Drosophila melanogaster: one gene and its partner. The protein of the gene in region 1 interacts with the protein of each later gene in a pairwise test. Each region holds a gene or a part of one and is shown in the gene's direction. Other genes may lie near its edges.

Region 1 (11,430 bases):
TGCGCTGTGGGAGTCGGAAAATGGGAAAGCTGGCAACAGAAGGGGGTAGAGCAGCGGCCAAGAAGGAATTGGGAGTTGGGCGAAAGCAGCACCTTCAGTCGGGGCATGTTTTCGCATTTAATAAAGTATTAAGTGTTATGTTTTTGCGGTAAAGTTCTCACTCATTGAATAACACGAAATGTGTGGCAATTTGTTTGGGGCATTTACCCATTCCCAGCACACCTGGTTTAATGCGCAAATGTTGTTCCACTTAATTGTGGCTTTCCCCCGGAAATGTTCCTACTTACCAGTGGAATCAAAGTTGTATAAATGATCCTTGGCATCGCGCAGCATCTCGAACTGCTCGGGCATGATAATATCCTCCAGTTGCAGCTCCTGCAAGCTGTCATCATCGCACTCATCATACTCATCCTTCACGTTATCCAAATCGTATCGGTGGAAATCAAACTCCCGATTGCAATGTCCCACTATTTTGTCTGTCTGCATGTGAGCTAAGTATAAATTGGTATTTAGTTGTGGGAAGTTAAAGTGGCATAGAGGAGCCTTACATATCTTCTCCTGCAGGAACTCCTTGACAGGATCCAGTGGCAGTTGGTCAAAGCCATAAGTCAGGTTGTAGAAGGGGCAGTCGTTCAGCTGGCGCTTTTCGCCCTTCTTCTGAGCCTGCGACACTCTGGGCAGATGGAGAGTTCGTTTCCTCCTCAGCTTGTCATCCTGCAGCCGAGGATCACAGTATGGACGGCGCTCTGGCGCTACCTTCTTCTGCATGGCGAGGGCATGGATTGATTTGGATGATTTGGTTTGGTCAGGGGGAGAACCTCAGGGACGGTGTGCGCGTGATCCTTCCGCTGATGCTGGTTTGTTAACGAATCGTATTCAAAGCCAACACAACGAAACACGATTTCTAGTCTGCTTTCATTTGTTTCACTCTGTGCGGGGCATACTTTTCTCCGTTCTAGAAAAATGGAAAACAAAACCCGTAGCTCGGATGGCAAAAGTTTGCACAGCAGCAGTGGAAGCGAAATATTTGCGGGCCAGCGATGAACGTGAAATGTTTACAAACAAAGTCGAGGCCCAGGCATTGGGCATGGATGGCCATGGCAACGGAGGACCCGCGGGCCAGGAGCCCGGGAATCGGGGGCGTACGTGTAACCCCGGCAACCAGGACCGGCTGCAAAAGCTGCTACCGGAGCTGGAGACACCCCGACACTCCGTCAATGCTCGCCTTTCAACGTCCTCCGCTCAGCTCGATAATATTTGATATTTGTGTCTGGCGAAGGGATGGCTTCCCAGGGCATCAACTGCAGTCACAGTTGCAGGGAGAATATTGGAAAGCAAGTGCATTTTCGGACAATATGCAAAGACAGGAATTTGGATCACAATAATTTAAATATTACCTTGTTTCGAATATATCCATTTAATAATAACAAAAATATGAGGTATTTACATAATACTTTATCTGTCTGATTTTTTCTCAGTGTAGTCCAGAGCGCACGAAGCAGGCCGCGTTACCTGGCAGCTTTTCTCGAATTGTGCACACATTTTTCAATAAAGCGCTGCAACTGCAGAAAAGCTGGTCCTGGTGAAGCTACCGCTGGCATTCTGTATATTTATTATCCCAACTGTCTGGCAAAGGAGCAGCAGGACGAGCAGGACTAGCAGGAGCGCCGGGAACAACGGAAGCATCGACTCGTCATTGAACCTGATGATATGTTGACAATGATGGAAAATAATAATGCTCGACCGGGGCTCGGCGTGTTCGGAGCTCCCTAATAGGGTTGCAGCTGAAGGGGAGAATCGCATACATAATGCTACGAGGCAGCATAATCATGAGCCGATTTCACAAGGAGATCCTATTGCATTTCGGCTGCCAAAGGAATTTACTTTAACAAAGACGCTTCAAGTGGCATTGGTGTTTTGAGCGACTGAATTGCGAATAGAGCAGCAATTAATTGTGGTAAATTAATTGGAAATTTGATTAATGGTCAATTGCGGTTACCTCACCTTTGTCTTCCTTCCAGGACAACGCATTTTGGCTTTGAGAGCGCAGTAAATGCGGTTGCCACACATGCGAAAGTTAAAGGAAATCGTGTGTGTTTTAAGGTGACAAGTCGTGGGAATAGCCAGGCATGCGAAACCATCAACGCAGGCCGGGAAAAGCAGGATTCAGGTTCCCGTATGCAGGTCATCCGCCTGTCACGTGCCTAAGCGCACCGGACAACGCAATGCAGGTGCCACCGACAGGTCCTTCGGGGATCGAGGTACCTGGGTGTGGGCTTTCCAGCTGCAGTGCATCCAGAGCCATGCGTGACAAATATTTATTAACTGCCACAACTGCCGGGCATCGGCTTAGAGGATTGATCTTGGCATTAGAGAGCTAATAAAAAATTGATTCCGACTTCGTCAATTGTCACAAATAATGATTACCACGCATTTTCGAACACATTATCCTGAGGGGGGCATGACACGCATCAAATTGCATTTAGTTTGTCATTGGCCTTCTTCTGGGTGGGTTGACTTTTTTGGCTGATTGGTGGTTCGGTCTATGGGCTTTGCCAAACAAAGGGCCGTAATTCGACGGCTGTCAGTCACGTGACCTCATTGCTGAAAATACACAATGGGGAGGGACAACATCATTATTAACAAAGTCAACGAGCAGCAGAGCAACAGAAGTCCGGAGGAGCAGCATCGTTTCCAGCCTGCGAGTATGCAACACTTTTCCACCGGAACGGAAATAAGTCGAATCCAATCATACCCTAAGAAGCTTAACTTCCAGGGGACGTCGTTCTTCGCATCTCGGGTTTGAGGATGTATGAAATTGGATATTCTTTGCTCATTCACATACTCATACTCAGAAGAGGGAATAAATCATGGTAAGAGATGGCATATATCACTGCTGCTGGTGGTAAGTGGTGAACATGATAATATTGCATTGCAACTTTATCTTTAAGAACTTTAACTCTTAATAAATTCAAATTTTAAGGTAAAACTTCTTTAAAACCCCATATAACCCAAGTAGATAGAGTATAATTAAAGAACTGCCTTGTCAAGGCAAAGTTTTCCTTTTTTTTCTGCCCAGTCTCACTTTTCTTTCCCCGCTCCATTCTCCATTGTTTATTTGCCTCGATTCCGTGTTTTTTTTTCCGTTTGCTGCCATGGCGAATCGCATTTTGTCCACGTGATTAATGGGCAGCAGTAGAAGACGTCGCGACTTGAAAAATTACATTCAAAATAAACGACAGAGGCGTCGTGGTCGGCGTTTTAAAACGGCCGTCACACGTGAGGGTTGGGGGCGCAGAAAGGCAGCGGCAGGGGGTCCAAGGGCGTGAGGTGGGTGGCGAAGGATAAGGATATCTGGCAGCAAAATTCATCCTGACGCACGTAAAAGATGCAACAGGAGCAAGAGCAAACACCGTGTGATTTACACGCAACCTACGGTGGGGGTGGGGTGGAAATGAGTGAAAATGGATGGAGTTGGGTGAAAGGGTGGGGTTGGTCGGGGGTCATAGTGCAAATTAGGGGTTGACGCTGCCGTGCAGGCAACGTACTCTGTTGTCAATTGAAAACGTGCCAACAATTTGCAACGACGATTAATCGTGCGACCAAACTGGGAGTTACAATTGCCAGTGGTCCGTTGGTCCTTTGGCAGCTCCTGCTGCTGCTGCTCCTCCGCCTCCTGGTGCCAAGTGCCAAGGATCCGGTGATGTCTGGGATCGTCCTTTCACCGGCGGAACCGTACATGTTGCGACGCATTTGCAGCTCTGTTTACGACCAAGTTTGCCCTGCGTTTGACTAATTTGTGTGAACTCTATTATGCGTGACTGCAAATGGGAACGGGAATGGGACTGGGTATGAGTTTTGGGTTGGAAATCCGATGTGGCGATGTCGTTGGCGATGGCAAAGCTAAAGGTGGTCTGGAGACCAAAGACCGGACAGACGTCTGATGAGCACTTAATTCCCGGTCGCTAATTGGTTCCAAGATGAAGAAGGACACGCACCGGTGGGATGATCAAGCTCGGAAGTCAATCGATTTGCGGCATGTGAGATGGAATTGCAAGCCAGCTTAAATCACGGCTATATTTATGGTTGGTTAATTATCGGTGTTCGCTTAAACTTTAATCAATTTTTATTGCTAATATTTCTTCTCTTGCTTTATGTTATCATTAATAATGAATATAATTATGGAATGTCAAAGTGGGTAGAAGGAAAAAACTGACTGAAATACAATCGCTTTATACGGATGCAGATACAGATAGAGAGATACTGCGAACGGGACGTCATTAAAGGCTTTTGTATGCAATTACATGCCGCATTGAGCAATCATAAATTAGCTTTGCAAAAGTGCGATAAAAAATATAGCGAAATTCAATTAAATTATAAAATGTGCAAAAATTTAATGCTCATAATGAAAAGTCGGCCCAGCTCACACTCGCATTAATCATAACAATTTGCAACTTATTTTTGCATCTCTTATTTCGCATTGCTAAAAAAATTGATTGGCTACTGAAATCTGCCGACTGTATATTCATATTTGTTTTAAATGTCAACAATCATCAATGCAAATTCACTACAAATACAGCCAAGTCATTCCTGATTTATCCTCGAAATGTCGCATCAATTTCGATCGAGTGGCGTCTGCGGGAGGAAAAAAAAAGTGAATTGAAGTGGAAACCGCATCGGTGTCAAAGATAGAAAGATATGGATACCTGATAGCCTTTGCAGCGCAGCTGACCTTATAAATCATAATACAATAAATATTGATAGTAAAAGTTAAAATATCGAAGTTGTAACACAGTAAGGAAAGCAATATCAGACTATTTTGGTCTGACATATTCAAATAAAGTCCAAATCCCATTTTTGGTAGCATGTCAAATTCATTAGGCTAAAACCTTGAAATTGGGTTAAAAATTTGCATGTACATGTTGCTGTGTGTTCCTTTTTTTTTTTTTTTTTTTTTGATGTGGAAGGAAGCCAAAATTTTGTTTTGAAATTAAATTATCGGACGAGCAACTTTAAGGGTAGCGGAATAACAATTCGCTTAGCTAAGCATTTTCTGCGCTCTCCGATAAAATTTTCGACCCGGGTAAATATTTGTGCGAATTTCTGCCGGATAAACCATGAAGCCCAACTATGTGTGTCGTCTGCGAATAAATTCTGCAATGCGTAGCTCAAAATTTCCGACACTAAATTGTTATGGTTTTTAGTCTTAAAGATAAATGTACTTAGCCAAAGGACTCAGTTTCGGTGTCGGTTCATGGTAAAGTTTTGCATATGCCCGAAAATATTTACTTGTGAGCAGATTGTTTAGTTAAACCGTAAAAAGACTGGCATTTTCGGTATGGAGTTGCTTCTCTGTCGTTGCCAGAGACAATGTAACATTTAAGAAAATTTAAGCCGCAGGCGACTTAAAAGCGAGACGAGTCCCTTTCTGTCAGTGGTCCTTTTTAGCCGGGCCATATGATTTAGCCATTCTGTTGTTGTTGTGGCTGCTCGTACTGCTACCACTGCCATTGTTGGGGATTTGGCTTGCCTTTGCCTTTGGATTTTTTACTCATTGTCTTCGGAAAGCCCGAAAACAGCGAGACCAAAGTGGATGGCTGAACTAGAGGAGCAAAGCCCGGGATAGATGGATGGACAGGCAAACAATTGTTGTTTGTATCCTGGTTAGCTTTGGCCAAGGATCTGCCAGTGCTGTTCCTGCTACTCCTGCTTTTGCGGCTGCTGTACAAATTAGTTTCTAATACCTTCAAGTCAAACAGTGGACCCGGAGACCTTTGCCGCCAGGGCAAACAGACAGCCAGGCGGACAAACACAGTGGATCTGTGGATCAAATTGGGCTTGGTCAAAGTCCTGCGCCTGCCACCCCTTCATCCATTCATCCTTCGCTCCCCCTTAGGAAGTTTGCCGAATCACTTGAGCGTGTTTATGAAATAACCTTGGCTCGAGTCTATATAGTTGGTGGGCGTGTTTGTGAGCTCCGAGCCGCCTAATTACAAAACTCATCCGTTTTCAATTGATTCCATAGCAAATGGTATTTTAAATAGTTTCGCTTAGTTCTCCTTTCGGCCCCATTTAAGGTCCACTTCAAGGCATCCCCCGCTACCAGAGATTGCATAATGCTGCAGACGCTTTCCAACGAGAGAGTTGGCCCAAAAACAGAACCACAAGACCAAGACCATGTGGCGGGTTTAATGAGCTAACTGCTGATTCCTCGATTCCTCTCGCTCACCGTCATCCTCTGCTTATCTTTGGCCAAAAGTTTTTTAAATTAATTTTTAATTGTTTATGCTGCAAAAGTTTAGCTGTGTTAAAGGAGCAAAACAACGGGAAAAATAAAAGCAATTGCTGGAGCAGTTAGAAAGAGAAAATATAGATACTTTTGTTCCCGGCTTGCATTGTGTTGTCTGTGCCAGTTTCATTAAACAAATAAGGGAAATTAGCTGGTTAAAGATATAATCAACTATACAAAAGTAGTATTTACTTCTTAGGCGTTCTATAACATTACCAATTACCGATTATTTTGCAAACTTCAAAAGTAAACTTTTTCCTTTCCGATTTTTGAGAATACCCTGACCCTGTATAAGAACCATAAACGGCAGCTGTCTTTAACCAATTAACCCAGTGATCTGAGACCTTGCCTTGAGCAGAGTTCAGAGCAGATGTGAATGCAAATTTCGAGAGGTGGGCATATTATTCAGGCAATAATCGGGCCAACAAAATGTCTATTGATAACGATCGTGCATAACCGTAAAGTGGGGTGGAGAATCCATGGGTATTTCGGCGGGGCAATTAGCATAACATTGGGCCGAAAAGAGTTGATGTCGCGGTGTCAGCACTAAAAGCAAAAAAGCATAAAGCAGCGGAAAACAGAGGCAATTCCTTATAAAAGAAAATTATGCAAATTGCTAATAAATTATAGTGAGCCAGCGAACGACATGTAAAATAATAACAAGCGGACGCCGAGATGGAGATGGAGCTATGAGCTGGGAGCATTTTGGGCTGGAGGAGCGGTCGCGAATTGAATTACAAATGTAAACACAATGCCACGGGACTGGAGAGCACAGGAGGGGTCAGGACAGGAGAGGAGGAGTTCCAGGACATGCCGGAGTGCTGACAGGACGAAGGCACGGACAGTGGAACCGGCACTGCGAAATCATTAAAATAATAAAGCGCTGCGTTCGCTTTCAAGACGAGAACGACAAGGACAACGACAACGACGCGATGACGACGATGACAACAGCGGCGACAAGGACATTAACTGGCGAACGGATAATGGCGAAACTTTTTGACATTTATTGTGTTTGTGTCGAATGTTTATTTATGATTGCACGCGGCCGGAGTTCTGGCCGTATTTACATTACAATGATCAGAAGAGCATAACTAAGGGCCAACGGATCCCGTTCCTGCTTCCAGTCCCATACCCCAAAAACCCTCGAATGCCCATCCGTATCATCGGCTTGTTTGCGTATGCGAATGCGTATTAAATTAATGATACTTTCTAGTTCATAAAATTCGTTATGCCAGAGCTCCAGGCTCTGATTCTGATTCTGGTTGCGAATCTGTTTTGTGTGCGAATATCAACGTCCAACACACAAATCAAATAATCACATAAATGAGAGCACAACACAAACTCTGGCACATGCGGCGGGTGTGTCTATTGGATTGAAACAAATTGATTGTCATAAAACATCGTTTATACATATTATAATGTGTCATAGGATGTTCATGCTTCACTTCATACTTTTGGTTCGAAACCAAGCCGCCAAAAGATAAACAGTTTAGCTCCCTTAACTTGAACCACCATCTGCCACATTTTAAAATTGAGGTATAATTTTTAAGGGTGTCTTTCTTTTGAAATGTGATAGCATAACAAGAGAAATAGTTGATAGTTGATACTTTGATTAAAAGTTGGGAAAGATCAACTTATGGTAGCTTGACTGTACTTGCATCCGCATCTCGGTGGTCGGCCACGATTTCACAAGTGGCGATGTGAGTGATTGCGATAAGGACGCCGTTGTCCGGATTCGGGAGTGTTTCATTCATTTTTTTTGGCCCCTTTATGAGGGCGATAGTTCCCCTAGCAACTCCAGACGAAGTCAGAAACCCAAGGCAGGCAAAATTTATGGTTGTTTACAGCAGATTGCACACCCCATTTGCTTTGTTTTGCACTCGCTGCCACTTGACACACATTTCGGGGCACAAACTCAAGATGGCTATATGACGATGACGATGACTCTTGAAAAACCGAAAAACTTACGCAGTTTTGTCTCTTTAATTAGTCCAAGGCCGCGGGGTCGGGCGGTCCGGAACGGGGAGGAAATATTCGTTAGACCCTCGGGAGCACCAAAGTGAAAGTGCCTCCAACATCATATGCATGATTTGTGCAAAAGTTTCCCCAGCCAACTTGGAGTCCTCCGCCTGGTAACTCCTGCTCGCCCCTTTCCTGCCGCCAGCAAGCTTGTTTTGCCAAGTTTATGAATTTCATAGCCAAAGTTTTTCGGCAGCGCATAACATGCTCCCAACTTGTAAGCTGCTCCGCTGTTTTCTCGTCTTCGTCCTTTTCGCGTGCAGCATATTTTCGGCGAAATCTTTGATATCCTGGTCGCAAGGAGCAGTTAACGTTATGCGGGTCGCAGGATACACAGTTTATTATAACAGCTCTACGGACCATGAAATTCGACCATTGCACTATTAGCCATTAAGCTAAAGACTATACTCTAAAAATTTATAAATGCTACATATTACTCCAAGCTAAAAAAATAAAACGTAATTTACATGTGATTTAAACCGTTGACAATGCAACTTCCAACAACCCACAGTCCAATTAAAATAAATTTAAATCCTATATGATTCACAAAACGGAACCAATTAAAACCAATTCGAAAACTTATCAGCGAAACCCATTAAACAAATACGTCGTGCTGCCCGTGCGACCTTTTGCCAACCATCAATCTTGAGCGGTTCGTTGAACTCCAAAACCGAGTAGTACGCAAATTACCGATAGCCACTTGAGAAATTAACGTTCGAAACTATTAATAACGTTCGAAATAAATTAATAAATACGTATGCGTATGCTGCCATTAAAGTGAACACCATGGAAAACCATTGTGATTTTGCATTAGATCTTGTTAAGAGCACCGATGCTCGCTCTTGACCGTGAAGCTGTATCTTAAGCCAAAGCAATAGCCATCGAATTCGATCCAAGTGGCGAACGACAAACGAAAGCGAAACGCAGAGCATTTAGTTCCGCACTGGGCAATCTTTGGGCAACTCCTATCCACTATGGGATACATGTTATTCATGTTGGTTGTGGTATAAAATACATTTTTCTTTGCTTTCTGTTATGTCTAAATCCTTTTGGATTCAATGTTTCCAAAAAGGGAGTTTGGGATTATAACATTTCTACATTATATAGATAACTAAAGCATCTATAATATATAATATTTAAATTTTATCTAATTGGATAGTTGTTTATCAAACACTTTGGTTTATTTTACCCACTGTGCTCTGTAAGCGAACCGGCTCCCAGCTGGGCTTAATCTCCACGTGAAGACGAAGCTGGGAGACGGTGACGGGGGCACTTGAGGGCTCGAGTGGCGCATGTTGGGTCTTTGGCCAAATTCATTGCTTTGTTACCGATTCGGAGTCGGTTTCGATTTCGGTTTTGGTTTCCGCCGCTGTTTGCCGGCAAACAGAGCGTCGATCATTGTTTGAATGGAAGCTGGCAAACATTGGAGCGTATAAATATGCGGACAAATTGCGACGATTAATCATTCGACCCATAGATTCCATCGTCAAAGCAATTAGCTTGGAGATCTATAGCAAGATGGTGAATATTCCAGCAGCAAGGATACCTTCCCTCCAGGATTATCTAACCTAACACTTTATATACACTCACATTGCAGAAACTTTTCTTAGCCTGCATCTTTATTGCCGCCGCGACGGCTGCAGTGATTCCTGTCGAACAAGCCAGGCACCGTCGTGACGTCTCCGAGATCGTGAACGAGTACATCCCGCCGGCGGAGGAAGTTGGAGCAGAGCTGGCCCAAGACCCCGCCGCCCTGGGAGATGATGGATACCGCTACAAGACCGTGCGCCGATTGAAGCTCCGTCAACGTCGTGATGTTTCCGAAATCGCTAACGAATACCTGCCACCCACTGAGGAGGTTGTTGCTGATGCCCCAGTTGAGGAGGTTCCAGTTGAGGAAGCTAGCCAGGACTCCGCTGTCCTTGCCGCCGATGGATACCAGTACAAGACTGTCCGTCGCCTGAAGTACCGCCAGCGTCGTGATGTTTCTGATATCGCCAACGAATACCTGCCACCCACTGAGGAGGTTGTTGCTGATGCCCCAGTTGAGGAGGTTCCAGTTGAGGAAGCTAGCCAGGACTCCGCCGTCCTCGCCGCCGATGGATACAAGTACAAGACTGTCCGTCGCCTGAAGTACCGCCAGCGTCGTGATGTTTCTGAGATCGCCAACGAATACCTGCCACCCACTGAGGAGGTTGTTGCTGATACCCCAGTTGAGGAGGTTCCAGTTGAGGAAGCTAGCCAGGACTCCGCCGTCCTCGCCGCCGATGGATACAAGTACAAGACTGTCCGTCGCCTGAAGTACCGCCAGCGTCGTGATGTTTCTGAGATCGCCAACGAATACCTGCCACCCACTGAGGATGCCGCCACCGAAGCCCCCATTGAGGAAGCTCCTGTTGAGGAAGCCAGCCAGGACTCCGCTGTCCTTGCCGCCGATGGATACCAGTACAAGACTGTCCGTCGCCTGAAGTACCGCCAGCGACGTGATGTTTCTGAGATCGCCAACGAATACCTGCCACCCACTGAGGAGGTTGTTGCTGATGCCCCAGTTGAGGAGGTTCCAGTTGAGGAAGCTAGCCAGGACTCCGCCGTCCTCGCCGCCGATGGATACAAGTACAAGACTGTCCGTCGCCTGAAGTACCGCCAGCGTCGTGATGTTTCTGAGATCGCCAACGAATACCTGCCACCCACTGAGGAGGTTGTTGCTGATGCCCCAGTTGAGGAGGTTCCAGTTGAGGAAGCTAGCCAGGACTCCGCTGTCCTTGCCGCCGATGGATACCAGTACAAGACTGTCCGTCGCCTGAAGTACCGCCAGCGTCGTGATGTTTCTGAGATCGCCAACGAATACCTGCCACCCACTGAGGAGGTTGTTGCTGATGCCCCAGTTGAGGAGGTTCCAGTTGAGGAAGCTAGCCAGGACTCCGCCGTCCTCGCCGCCGATGGATACAAGTACAAGACTGTCCGTCGCCTGAAGTACCGCCAGCGTCGTGATGTTTCTGAGATCGCCAACGAATACCTGCCACCCACTGAGGAGGTTGTTGCTGATGCCCCAGTTGAGGAGGTTCCAGTTGAGGAAGCTAGCCAGGACTCCGCTGTCCTCGCCGCCGATGGATACCAGTACA
Region 2 (11,732 bases), on another chromosome or scaffold:
GAATTACTCATAGGCCACACAGATACTTGCACAATGATGCTCAATGTCGTATGAGTAATATAGTTAAAGGTCAATTCGATATGGAAATAACGCAAAAATAAGTGGGGCAATCTTGAATAGTAAGATTAATTGCATTGCAGATTCCAGAGTAAAAAGAATAAAATAAATAAAAATCTATTTTATAGATCACTTACCGGCTTTGCTGCTCCACCAAATTGGTTTTGTTGCTGCTGTGAATTGAACGTGTTTGCTGCCGATGTTTCATTCCTTGCCGGACTGAAGACATCGCGAGATCTTTGTTGCTGCTGCTGAACATTGTTGTAGATTGGTTGTGGATGCGAATCCTGTTGCTGTTGTGCTCCAGGCTGAGCACGTTGAGTGCGCCATGGTACTGATTGAACAGCCGGTTGCTGCTGCTGTTGCTGCTGCTGTTGCTGCTGTTGCTGCTGTTGCTGCTGCTGCAACTGTTGTTGCTGGAACTGTTGTTGCTGCAATTGTTGCTGCTGGAACTGCTGTTGCTGCAGCTGCTGGAGCTGTTGCTGCTGCTGTTGCAACTGCTGTTGCTGCTGCTGTTGCAACTGCTGTTGCTGCTGCTGTTGCAACTGCTGTTGCTGCTGCTGCTGCACCTGAGCCAGCGGCGATATCGCTGTTGGTGGACGCTGCTGCGGTGACTGTTGCTGTTGCTGCTGTGCAAACCGGAAGGGGCTCTCAGTGGATCGCTGTGGTTGCTGCTGCTGCTGCTGTTGCTGCGGCTCGAAAGGCGATCTGGGACTGTCCGATTGACGTGTGTAGACGTTCACCGCTGGCGATGTGGGCATGGGCACACTGCGGAACTCCGGGCGTGTTGCAGGCTGCTGCTCCGACTGTTGCTGCTGCTGCTGCGGCGGTGTTGCCGGTGGCGTTGGCTGTTGATATTGCACCGGAGGACTCTTGGCCACGGGCGGCACTTGCGGAGTCGGAGTGTAAGGACTGTAGCTGCTTTCAACGCTAGCCGCCGATGGTCTTGGACCTATATTAAACAAAATAAATAGAATTTTTTAGCCAAAGAAAGTTTAAATTACATCAGTTTATTAGTGCTGTTAGTGGGAGGATTGTGAGCCAATTTGTAGGGCCTTTTGGATGTTTGATTAGTCGAATGGGGCTTTTAAAAGAAGCAACCTCAACCGCTTAGTAAGAGCTGGCGATGTGTGATGAGTCGTATCGGGATCAGTAGCTGAACCAAAATCACCCAAAAAGTAAAGCGAGCCAAATCCTTAGGGGCTCTGCTCACCATCAACGGCATCGGATGTGGTGCTGCTATATCCTCCATTCGCAGCAGGTGCCACCTCGGGCAGCGGACTCTTGGAGCGATCCTTAATGTACTCGTCCTTCCAGAACGTGTTCTTCTCCACGGGCGGTGCCACCTTGCGCAGTGCAGCCATGGGATTTGGCGGTATCTTGATCTCCGGCCGGAATCCCAGTGGTGGTGGCTCAAAACGCTGTGGAGTTGGCGATTTGCGCGCCGTAGCCGGGGAACCAGGGGCACTTAGGCGCCCAGTGGGTGGCGCTAATGTGCTGGGTTGTTGTGGGGGTGGTGGTGGGGGTGCGGCGCTAGCACCTTGGGTGCCATTCTTACCCGACTGTGGTTGCGGCGGCGGTGGTGGCGGCGGCAGCACCTGGAACGGCATGCCCATGGCAGCGGCTCCAATCGAACTGGCTGCACCACCTGGCCCACCTGGCGACTGTGGCTGGGCGGGTCTGTTCTGTTGGGCGGCTCCGGTTGCTCCTTCCGATTGGGCATTGCGCGCCAACCGCTTGGCCATCCGCTCCGACCGGATCTGGGAGAGATCAATGCCGCCGGGCGTGTAGGTGAAGGGCTTCTTGTCTTTTGTCATCATCGCGTTCTGCACGCACGCGGGCGCCTCGTAGCCACCGTTTCCGGATCCGCCTCCTCCGCGCTGTCCATACCTGCAGGAAAACAAAGTTCAAATCTCTGTAAACCACTTAATAATTCAACCAAAGAAGAATAATATTTTGTTTAACCAGTACTTAGACAATATATATATCATTAAATCATTTAATTTAAATATTTCCGAATTTCATTCAAGATTATCGTTGTTTCTGTATAAGATGAGCTACTGAAAATCCTAAAAATCTGTTCAATATGTGTAAGTATAATCTTATTAATTATTAAACAGGAAAAGTAAAGATGAAATAAAGATAAAGATAAAGATATCATGATAACGATAAGTTCGTTGGATTATGATAATTATTATTAATACAATGCAAAGGCTTTCAAACAGGTATATGCATTAACAATACTTTAATCTTTTAGTTAACGTTGGTATTATTTTTTTCGCAACCCAGCTGTCATGTTAATCTGACTTCCTCTCCAATTTGCATGGGCTATTTATCATAATTTTTGTTAAATCTTTTCTAATTTATTATTTCGCTCTTGGTCGCCGGCAAAAGCACCCATTTGTATTGTTTTCCTTTCTTCGCAGCTGCTGCGACTCATTAGTCGATCATCGATAGTTCAACGAGCCAATGTTTTGATTTTTTTAACGATCAAAAGGGGGAAAGTGAGTTCAAGTTGTTACGGACGACCGACCATAAAAGGTGAGACGTCCGATGAAGTGCCAAATTTGAAAGGTTGAAAGTGAGAAGTTATTGTGGTATCATGACTATAAGAAGGTCTATTGAAGAAATTGGCTGCATTAGTTTCATTGTAATAAATTTGTAAGACATAACATGAGTAATGGGGAATTAAAGACTTAATAGTTAATCTATCTAGCTGATCTAAGATTTCTGGCTTCCCTCAGAGTATCTACGTAAAATAATGTTTGTAAAGATTAGTTGATTTAATGCCTATTTAGGCTTGTGAAAATTTCCCATTTGCACTTTCTCAGTCCCGTTGAATATGTCTTCATGTACGAGCATCCCACTTCCCAGTCAACGTCGAATTTTCTCCGCATAATTTGCTTATTTTAAATGCGTTAAACGTTAACAATTCGCTAATTAAAAGCGAAAATCGAAGAGGTTCGGCGACAATATACGTTCTCGTTAACGTTGGCTCCACCAGAAAGCCCGTTTATGCCGAAAGAAAGTGATGGAGTTCGGGATCGGGTTCTGAAAAGTTGTCAGGCCCGTTTGACATGAGCTTGGTGTGCGTGGATGATACGCATCCAAGTGGGTCAGGCGAACAGGAACAGGTGATCAGGTCTGCCTGGCAGTTGTTCCATAAAGTTGACACGGCCAAAACTCTGCGGTCTCGCCAAATAATTAAGAAAATAAAACTAAGTAAACAAGGCACCCTACTCTGGAAACCGCAAATGCGAAGGCCAAGTTGTGTGGGAAAACGGTTGCGAAACTCACCCACAACTGGCTTACATGCAAATTGGAGCGCGTGCATCAAAGTCAAATGCAAATGACGTAACTCCCTGCGGTTAGTGACAGAAAATCGTATTTAAATCGAATCGAGTCGCAACAAAACAAATCTTTAATTATTCCCATATTTGGGATGGTCGAAGAAATGCTGTCAGCTCCTTATAGACATGGCATGGTGGATATAATAAACTATGGATACATATGCCCAGTCAGGTTGGGCATCAACTTTTTGTTGAACTTGCCATTGATTATGTGCGAATTAATAGCATCAACAGCTTCCATAATTGTCGAGGCGTGCCCAAAATTGTGAGGTCGTTCAGTTCAGATCGGTCTATTCCCCGTTTATTGACTCGATCGGTCGATCGATGCTTTATGGCCGGATAGGAAATGCAACTTACACAACCGTTTTGTTAACTGTTTTTTCTGTATGAAACATTCGACCGCTGCCATATTGGGCTGGGCTATAAAAGTTATTAAACACCGTGACAAGCCTGGAAAAATGTCAGCTTAATGCACTAAACATTTCCTGAACCAACGAAAGCAATGTAAATACCCATTCATTGTTCTCAATTCCAATGATCGTCACGCACAGTGAACTAAAAAATGCGTTGCCAAAATTTTCGAAAAACAAAAGAATCGTTAAAAACTAAAAGATACACGCGCTGAAATCACAGATGTCCCCTGATGACGTCAATTGGCGGGGACATGGCGTCAGTACTTGGTACTTGGGGCTGCGGATAAGAAGCAATTGACCACAAGACAAGACCACCAACTGTTTGCTAGCCACTGACAGATTTGGCAATTAAAATGTCAGAGCACCAGGAAAAAGTTTCAAGGAACCGGGAAGAAATAACCAATAAACTGGCATACAAAGTTCGCCTATAATCATAATGCAACATGACTAATTTACTGGCACAAGCATGCACATATTCTTTGTGAATCATATGCATATGCGTTGCACATGCACTTAGCCTTAAGTAAACATACATTTCTAAAAATAAATGTAAATCCATTTTACCGACTAATGACTGGGCTTTATGATTTGCCAAAAATACATGTAAAATAGTCGCAGCTGTTCATGCGTGAGTTAAAAACATGCAATAATAACACAAGCAATCACAATTTCAAATTTAAATGATAGAAAAACATCTGTGCAATTCGCATTTTCACTTTTCTAATTTGTTGTTGTGTGCTTGACTTTTATTTTGCCTTTTCGCATGCAAATGAGCGTGCAGAAATGTATCTAAAGGCATTTGCAACTAACTGGCAACCGGGTGGATCCACAAGATACGGGTGATGTCTTCTGGAAAGCACTGGAAACCGGATTGATGAACTAGTTGGTATCCCTTATATAGCCATATTTTGTTTATGAGATGTTTATACGAGAGCTTATTGTGTTATTTGGATTAATATTATTATGTATATATTGTGCATTATGTGATCATACATTTAATATAACGTTTAATTTATTCAATTTATTTATTGAATTTATATTTTTGATTCTTTTTAGTCCAGTTCCATCATATCCCCTACTACCCTCTAGTAAAAGCAAACTAGTTGCCTAGAAGAATCTGCAGTTGCAGCTGGCCGCGCATATTTCAAGATCAAGGGCAGCCAGCAGAAGTAGAAGAAGAAGTAAGAACTTGAAAGCTGCCACATGCAACATGACATAATGATAGTCATTGTCCGCCCGTCTTGGCTATAAATAGCTTGGCTCTGAAGTCGGAGATCGGAAGATCGTTCGTACAGGGTGCTCCCTCCAGCCGCCCACATTCCGCAGTTGAGCTAATCTAGCGATAAATATTTACTTGGAAATTGCTCTTGCTCTGGCATTTTAGCTTTAGAAAATTTAGCTATATATTTATATAAATACAAATATATAGATATACTCGTAGCGGACTTACGACAATTCCAGGCCGTTGCGATTGGCATCCCCGTTCACGGGCAGCTCCGACAACTGAAATCCGCGATCCTGACGAACCATATATGCGGGCAGAGTGTCGATGATGGCATTGGCCTTATCATTATAAGAACCAAGTAGTTCCCGATATTTGGAGTACACTACGCGCTTCAGCTGCGGATTCTTGGATGACACGGAGGCGTTTGATGGCGACGGCGACGGAGATTGCAGCGTTGAGGTGGCCATTGCTCGCGGACTCTTGTTTACTTGTTTTAATACTTTTATACTAATTTATTTTTGTTGTACACTATTTTATCTGAATTTTGCTTTTACACTTGCATAGCACGAAAGTGGGTCGACTATCTTTAAAGCGGACCTCTATCTGCGAATGGGTACAAGCAAGTGGGTTTAAAGAAAGCCCAAAGCAAATTTTTTCCACATCATATATAAAACTATTAGGGCTACGCCGTAGTTCCTTCTGCTTTCTTTGCTGTCCAGATCTGTTTTGAATCGCTTTAGAAGTTAAACAATTGAAATGAAAATATTTGCAACCCATTTGCCAGGTTGCAAGTGCGCTTATCAGTAAATGTGCGCAGAACAAAGAGTTACAATTCAAGCAGCCAAGTACAATGGGTTGTACAATCGATTTACATTTGGCCGATCAGGGGACATGCAAACAAAGGTGCTGTATTGGAGCCTAGGTGGTCGAATGACTCAACCATCGATTGTGGGAATTGAATTTAACCTTTTTTGACAAGGGGCAGCCGACAAATGGTCTGCTGACTCACATCGGCGGAGAAGAATCACTGAAATTTTTGGGGGAACCTATAACAGAATCACTACTATGTGGACCAGCCGTTTTCCGTCTCGCAGAGATACGCTTACGCAGTTGAATTATTTTTAGGCATGAGCTAAAGTTGCTCCGAATTAAGATGGCATTTGCCCGGCCTTTCTGTTAGTATCCGACTTTAATCACTCACTCACTCACTAATTATTAAATTGAAAACACACGCGCTGCGCACAAAAAGTATCTCGTAGGTTCGTTTTTTTTATCTGTATCTGAGGAGCGCACTGGGCGACTGATCGCAGCGGACTCTCGAGACGCATTGAAGTCGGGTTCGGTTCGCCGGAGGTTGGACGGCACATCTGAGTTGGCTTGTTCGGCAACTTGTTGCAGATACATTTCCAGTCGCTTTGATGGTATTGGTGGTGCCGCAAAAGGAAAATCGATCGCTTGACAAACGGCCGACTGGCACGCGGACTGTATAGCAATTTATTTGTCTGTCAATGCAGTTCGATGATGGCGACAAATTTCCAGCTAAACGCCAAAAAGACTTTGCGACGCTTTCGTTTATCTGTATCTGGTATCTTTCGGCTGTATCTGCATCTCTTATCGTGCTACTAATTGTTTTCACTCTACTGTCATGTCGTCTGCTTATTACTTCTGTCGCTTTTCACGATTAAGCCAAATCGAAAGAACGGGTATCTCCCACTTCGGCATTATCTTTAGTTCGGGGGATTTCTTTATCGAATCTGCGCACTCGGCTTGCTCTAATTAACTCATTTGAACAATCATCTGCGGAAATGTGGCCCACTAGCCTTGACAGACAAATAAGATGTTATCTTTTCTGCTGTTTTTTTCTTTCAGTCTTATTTTCATTTTTTGCGACTGCTTTGTGCACAGTTAAATAATAATTGGCAAGAAAGCGTTAAGGAATTTAAAACGCGGAATGACTGGGCTAAAATCATTTTCTTTTGTCGCTCGACATCCACAATTTGTACGAAGTAAAAAACTTAAAATGCCACAAAGAAGGGGAAAGTCAAGAGACAACATCGGCAAACGATTATTGTGGATAGTTCTGGTCATCTACTTTCATTTGATCCCATTATATAGTTTTAACCATGAGCAAGAAAAGTATTTTTGTGTAGCTTTAATAATTTAACTGAACCATATCGACATTTTGGAATATCGAGCAGTTGACTGTAAATAAGTATATAATGAATGTATTTTTAGTATTGGATAATATAATCAACTCCATAAATTCCCTTAAAAGCTAAAGTCACTTTTTAGGAAATATGATTAGCCAAGCGTTTCCTTTCAAGTCACTGACATTTCATAGACATTACCAGATTTCTCAGTTTAATTTCTTAACGAATACTTGGAGAAATACCATTTATCCAGTTCAGAAACTATGGTAAGTTAAAACAAATGCAAGAAAAGCCGCGTGAACTGACCGTTCCATAAAATCTCAACCCCAAGTACCAACGATTCGCCAATTTGAATCTGGAGGCCCTCTATGGAATTCCGGCTATGTGTCCAGTGACCAATTGCCAGGCGCAGATGTCGCCACTCGAGATGCTGGCCCATCTGATGATGCGGCACAGTCCGCAGGACTCGATGATCGAGATTGCTGAGGACGTGCCCAAGCAGTACGAAGTGGATATTGATAAATTGACACCGGGTCGAAATCATTCGATTGGAGTCATCGCCTATGAGGGAGCCCCAAAGCCGGGTCTTAGTTGTGCTGTTACTTCGGATCTGCAGATTGTCCACCATCTGCCCATTATCCTGATGCTCTATGTGAGCCCTCCTATTCTGAACACCGAGCAGGCCTACATCTTATACCTGGTGAGTGCTGTGCCCTCCAGTCTGGTGAGTGCCAATGTAACACTCCTCGACGGATTCCATGCCCACGAGAAGCGCGGATGGCGTTGCCTGCGCAATTCCCTGGACAGTCCATTGATGGATAGTCAGAATCGGCTGTATTGCAACACGGACTACCTCCTGTACACGGCCACCGACATTCGGGAGCTGTGCCTCTCCGGAGAGCAGCGTAGGATCTTCGTCAAGATCGTGCTACACGGCGAGCCCGATCCCTTCCAAGTGGACGCCTAGCAAAAGGTGTCCGGACGAGTGACTCATTTGGTTCAATAAACACTTAAGTGCTGCGCCGCCAATTGACGCACACTTGAAATTCGAGTGGCTGTCAATAATATTCGTTCCTCAAAGAACTGTCAGTGAAATTGGTTTCCCTATTCATTCAATATTTCTGCTTTGGCTGGCCAGAAACTGGGTCAGACAGAGATATTTGGTTTTGTGCAGACATCAATCATGGGGGCCATCTAATTAGTTAGCCACAGGCCTCTGATTGCGGAAAATACTAGAGTCATTTCTTCTGACCGTGAAGAATGGGATTTTTAATTATGTGTTAAATGTTGCTGTGCTCTTTTTGAAAAAAACAATTTCGTTTGATTTTCTCTTTTCACTTTCGTTTCATTTTGTGACCCACTTAGTTGCAGTAGGTTCTTAAATGCAATAGCTTTTTAAAACGATTTTATAAACAATATAGCTAAACATTAAAATAAATGTATTTTTTAGCAAAGTATAAAACATAAGCAAATGCTTAGATCAACGCCTTTAGGTCTAGCGGTTAATCTCATAAATTATCCGAAACTATATAGAAATTAAAGAAACGCAAGAAACATAAACACCTACAAACACACAGATGCGATGCTATTTATAAGAAACTTAATTTTGCAAACATAAAACGAAAGAAAATTTATACCCCATTAAATACGAAACGATCTCTCACGGAAAAGTAAAAGGAAAAACAAAGATGGATAATCCAATAAAAATTAGCGTTTCACCAACAACACCCACAGCCCAGAAGACACAAGCGTGTATAAAACTATAATATTTCTGGCTTTTTTTTTGTTGTATCTGACCTTGAAAAATTATCTGAACGGCGGCGAAAAAAGTTTTACGTACGAAAAAAAAAAACAAAAATCAAAGAAAAACAAACGCAATCAGGGAAGCCATTCATCACTTTCTACGGCCACTTGAGTGTGCAACTCGTTTTGCATTTGTCATTTAGCTGCGTTGATTGCATGACATGAGCACATCAGACAGGGAGCCGTTGGGTTTGCGATTGGGATTGGGATTGGGATTGGGAGTGGGTCTGGCTCTTGTCGGTACTCGCAATTATTTATATTAATCTGGCCTGGGTCAACGTCAGCGAACCCAGGTGAAAGCGAAAACGCAGACTCTGCCCCAAAAGCCCGTTGCACAATCGATGGCGGTAATATTTCTCATTCAGTTGCCTTGCGGAATATATGCGCATACAAACGCGAATTTCTGTGTATTTTTCCTACCATGACCACATGTCGTCATTCACCGTCGGTCGTTTTTGGTCAGATAGGCAACCAAATCCCGCCAGCGCCTTTTTTTTCGATTTTTAACTTTTTTCCTGCAGCTCGAATTTGGTGCTGGTTGAAAAATTGCCATGTTATTGATTTGTAAAAAATGAAAAAAAAAAATTAAATATAGCCGCGCCATGAAAATTCGATATTTGTTTGTGGAGAAAGTGTGAAGGAATAAATCACGCACAGCAAAGCCATTTTCCGGGAAAACAAATAAATAGTAAAAATCATGGAAAAATCTGAGCAATAGTTCTTATAAAATTCCCCAAAACAAAATGTAAATTTAAACGTAAGCATAATTCAATAAATAATTAAATTGCAGAAATTGTTCTTTACGTTTGACTGCGAATTAATTGTGAACTTTCCCTTAATTAATTTTAATTCAGAGTGTATTGCTGAAGAGAAGTCATAAAGGCAAAGTGAATCATTGAATCAACTATCATGGGAACGATCTAGGTACATTCACATCGCTGTCCAATAATCAATTCCCAATGCTGTTGAACTGTCATCTGGGTGTGGCTTTATATCTTGTGCCTTATCCACTTGGGAATCTTCCTTTGAGTTTAGTACCCTATTTCGCATACAAATTTCACGGTCAACTGCGACCAACTTGAACTTGGGACAAGAAATCTGTTTACGTATTTTACAAATGCAAAAATTTATAAAATAAATAAACTCACACCTGATTTACGCAATCAACAAAAGTGAAAAATAAACCGACAAAGAAGTGTGAAAATAATTGTCGTTGACAAAAATCAAAGTCATGTTCGGCAATGCATCACAGTCTCGGGCATTAAAATGCGAATAATAATTTAAGCTAAAATAAACATTAACACTTTAAAACCATGTACATGGTCAATATTTGTCCCAAGTTCACACGTAAATTTTGTAAGTACCTATAGTCAAGATATTACAAGATATATATTTCATTTATATGTTAAACGTGGCGTATACTTGATGCTTTGCCGAAAGTTTGACGATGGAATTTGTCTAAACTTCAGAAAGTAGAATATAAACAATGAAAATTATGAAAATCTGAAATTTAATATCGAATAGAGGTCCTAGTGCTTCTTATTTTTTTCTTCTAATGCTTGACCCAATTTTGTCAATATATTATCGCAGATTTCCGTGGGAGCTGAAAATTTATGCGCCACACATCAACGTCAACGGCGAAATGCAAAAAAAATGTGCTGTCTGAGGAACGGGAAAAAAATAAATAAAACAAATGCATTTTATGCCAAATTCCTGGCTTTTTTGCTGTGAAAGGCTCTTGAGAATGTGTTTTATGATGTGCGTGGCTTCGAAGGAAACTTCCGGTGAATGCCGTCAGCCGTCTAAATACCCAACACGTGTGCCAATTGCTTCTAGACAAAGCCAAAAGACAGCTGCTGGCCGTGTCTAAGACACAAAACTGTGCACCAGCGAGATGTTGTTGAAAAATGGGAAATTTAATTAATTAATTCGCTTAGGAAAGCAGGGGAAAACACCGAAAGTGTCGCCTGCCAAAAAGCGCGTGCAACATGGGACTAGCCAAAAAAAAAAAAATAATAAAGAGATTCTAGTGTGGGCGTGGGCCATCGATGGCCTTCAAAAAACTCATGTGTGAGCCTTAATTGTAGCGGAGATCATAAAGATGTTCAGACTATAGATATATACGTATAGGCCCATACAGCTGTGGTCAGAATAATAGTGGTGAGCAAAAGACGCATAAAGTGCCTAAAAAGACTTCTCATAAAGCCAACTTTTAAAAGAACACAAGCCAATAAAAGCGTTTTAAAATATTTTTCATAATTCTACATAATCTTTCCCTTGTTTTGCCGTTCTATTGAAATAGTCAGCAGTAGAAAAATTATGAAACTTTCGATTGAACTATTTTTTTTTCGCAGTATTACGAAGTCAGCGGCCATATATTAAATTCTGTTTTAAGTACATCTGTTTTATGTTTTGTTCTTTTTTTTTGACTTTCCCCGGTAGAAATCGGGTGTAGTTTAAAATAGCTTATGACTATTAGACAGTTTCTTTTTGCTTAAAAGATTACTGTTGCACTAAAGTAACTTTAATTTGCACCACGTTTTTGTTCTTACCCAGAACTCATTTTAGCCGCTTTTTATGTATTTCAAGTTCAACTTCAGAACACTTTTACACACCGCCTACACACAGCCGCCAGTCGGAAGAAATCGCGATATTTAGATTTGGTCGTAGGCGTTGGTTTTCACCAAAACGCACGCAAGTTCTACGAAAAGATTTTGCAAACGACGCCTATGCA

What was found.
Region 2: the proteins of CG32235 (region 1) and CG31848 interact in a two-hybrid assay, tested with the Drosophila melanogaster proteins (one large-scale study listed by BioGRID).

Annotation. Positions count from the first base shown.
Region 1 is NT_037436.4:4,850,798-4,862,227, reverse strand, and holds CG32235 (uncharacterized protein), read left to right. Parts: upstream 1-1,757; 5' UTR 1,758-1,957; intron 1,958-2,021; 5' UTR 2,022-2,129; coding exon 2,130-2,381; 3' UTR 2,382-2,418; downstream 2,419-11,430. Other genes in the region: Dnah3 (dynein, axonemal, heavy chain 3), read right to left, coding at 288-491, 549-768; CG32237 (uncharacterized protein), read left to right, coding at 9,827-9,829, 9,906-11,430.
Region 2 is NT_033779.5:13,261,511-13,273,242, reverse strand, and holds CG31848 (uncharacterized protein), read left to right. Parts: upstream 1-7,366; 5' UTR 7,367-7,458; coding exon 7,459-7,461; intron 7,462-7,526; coding exon 7,527-8,162; 3' UTR 8,163-8,247; downstream 8,248-11,732. Other genes in the region: CG44085 (uncharacterized protein), read right to left, coding at 195-1,009, 1,616-1,947, 5,271-5,512.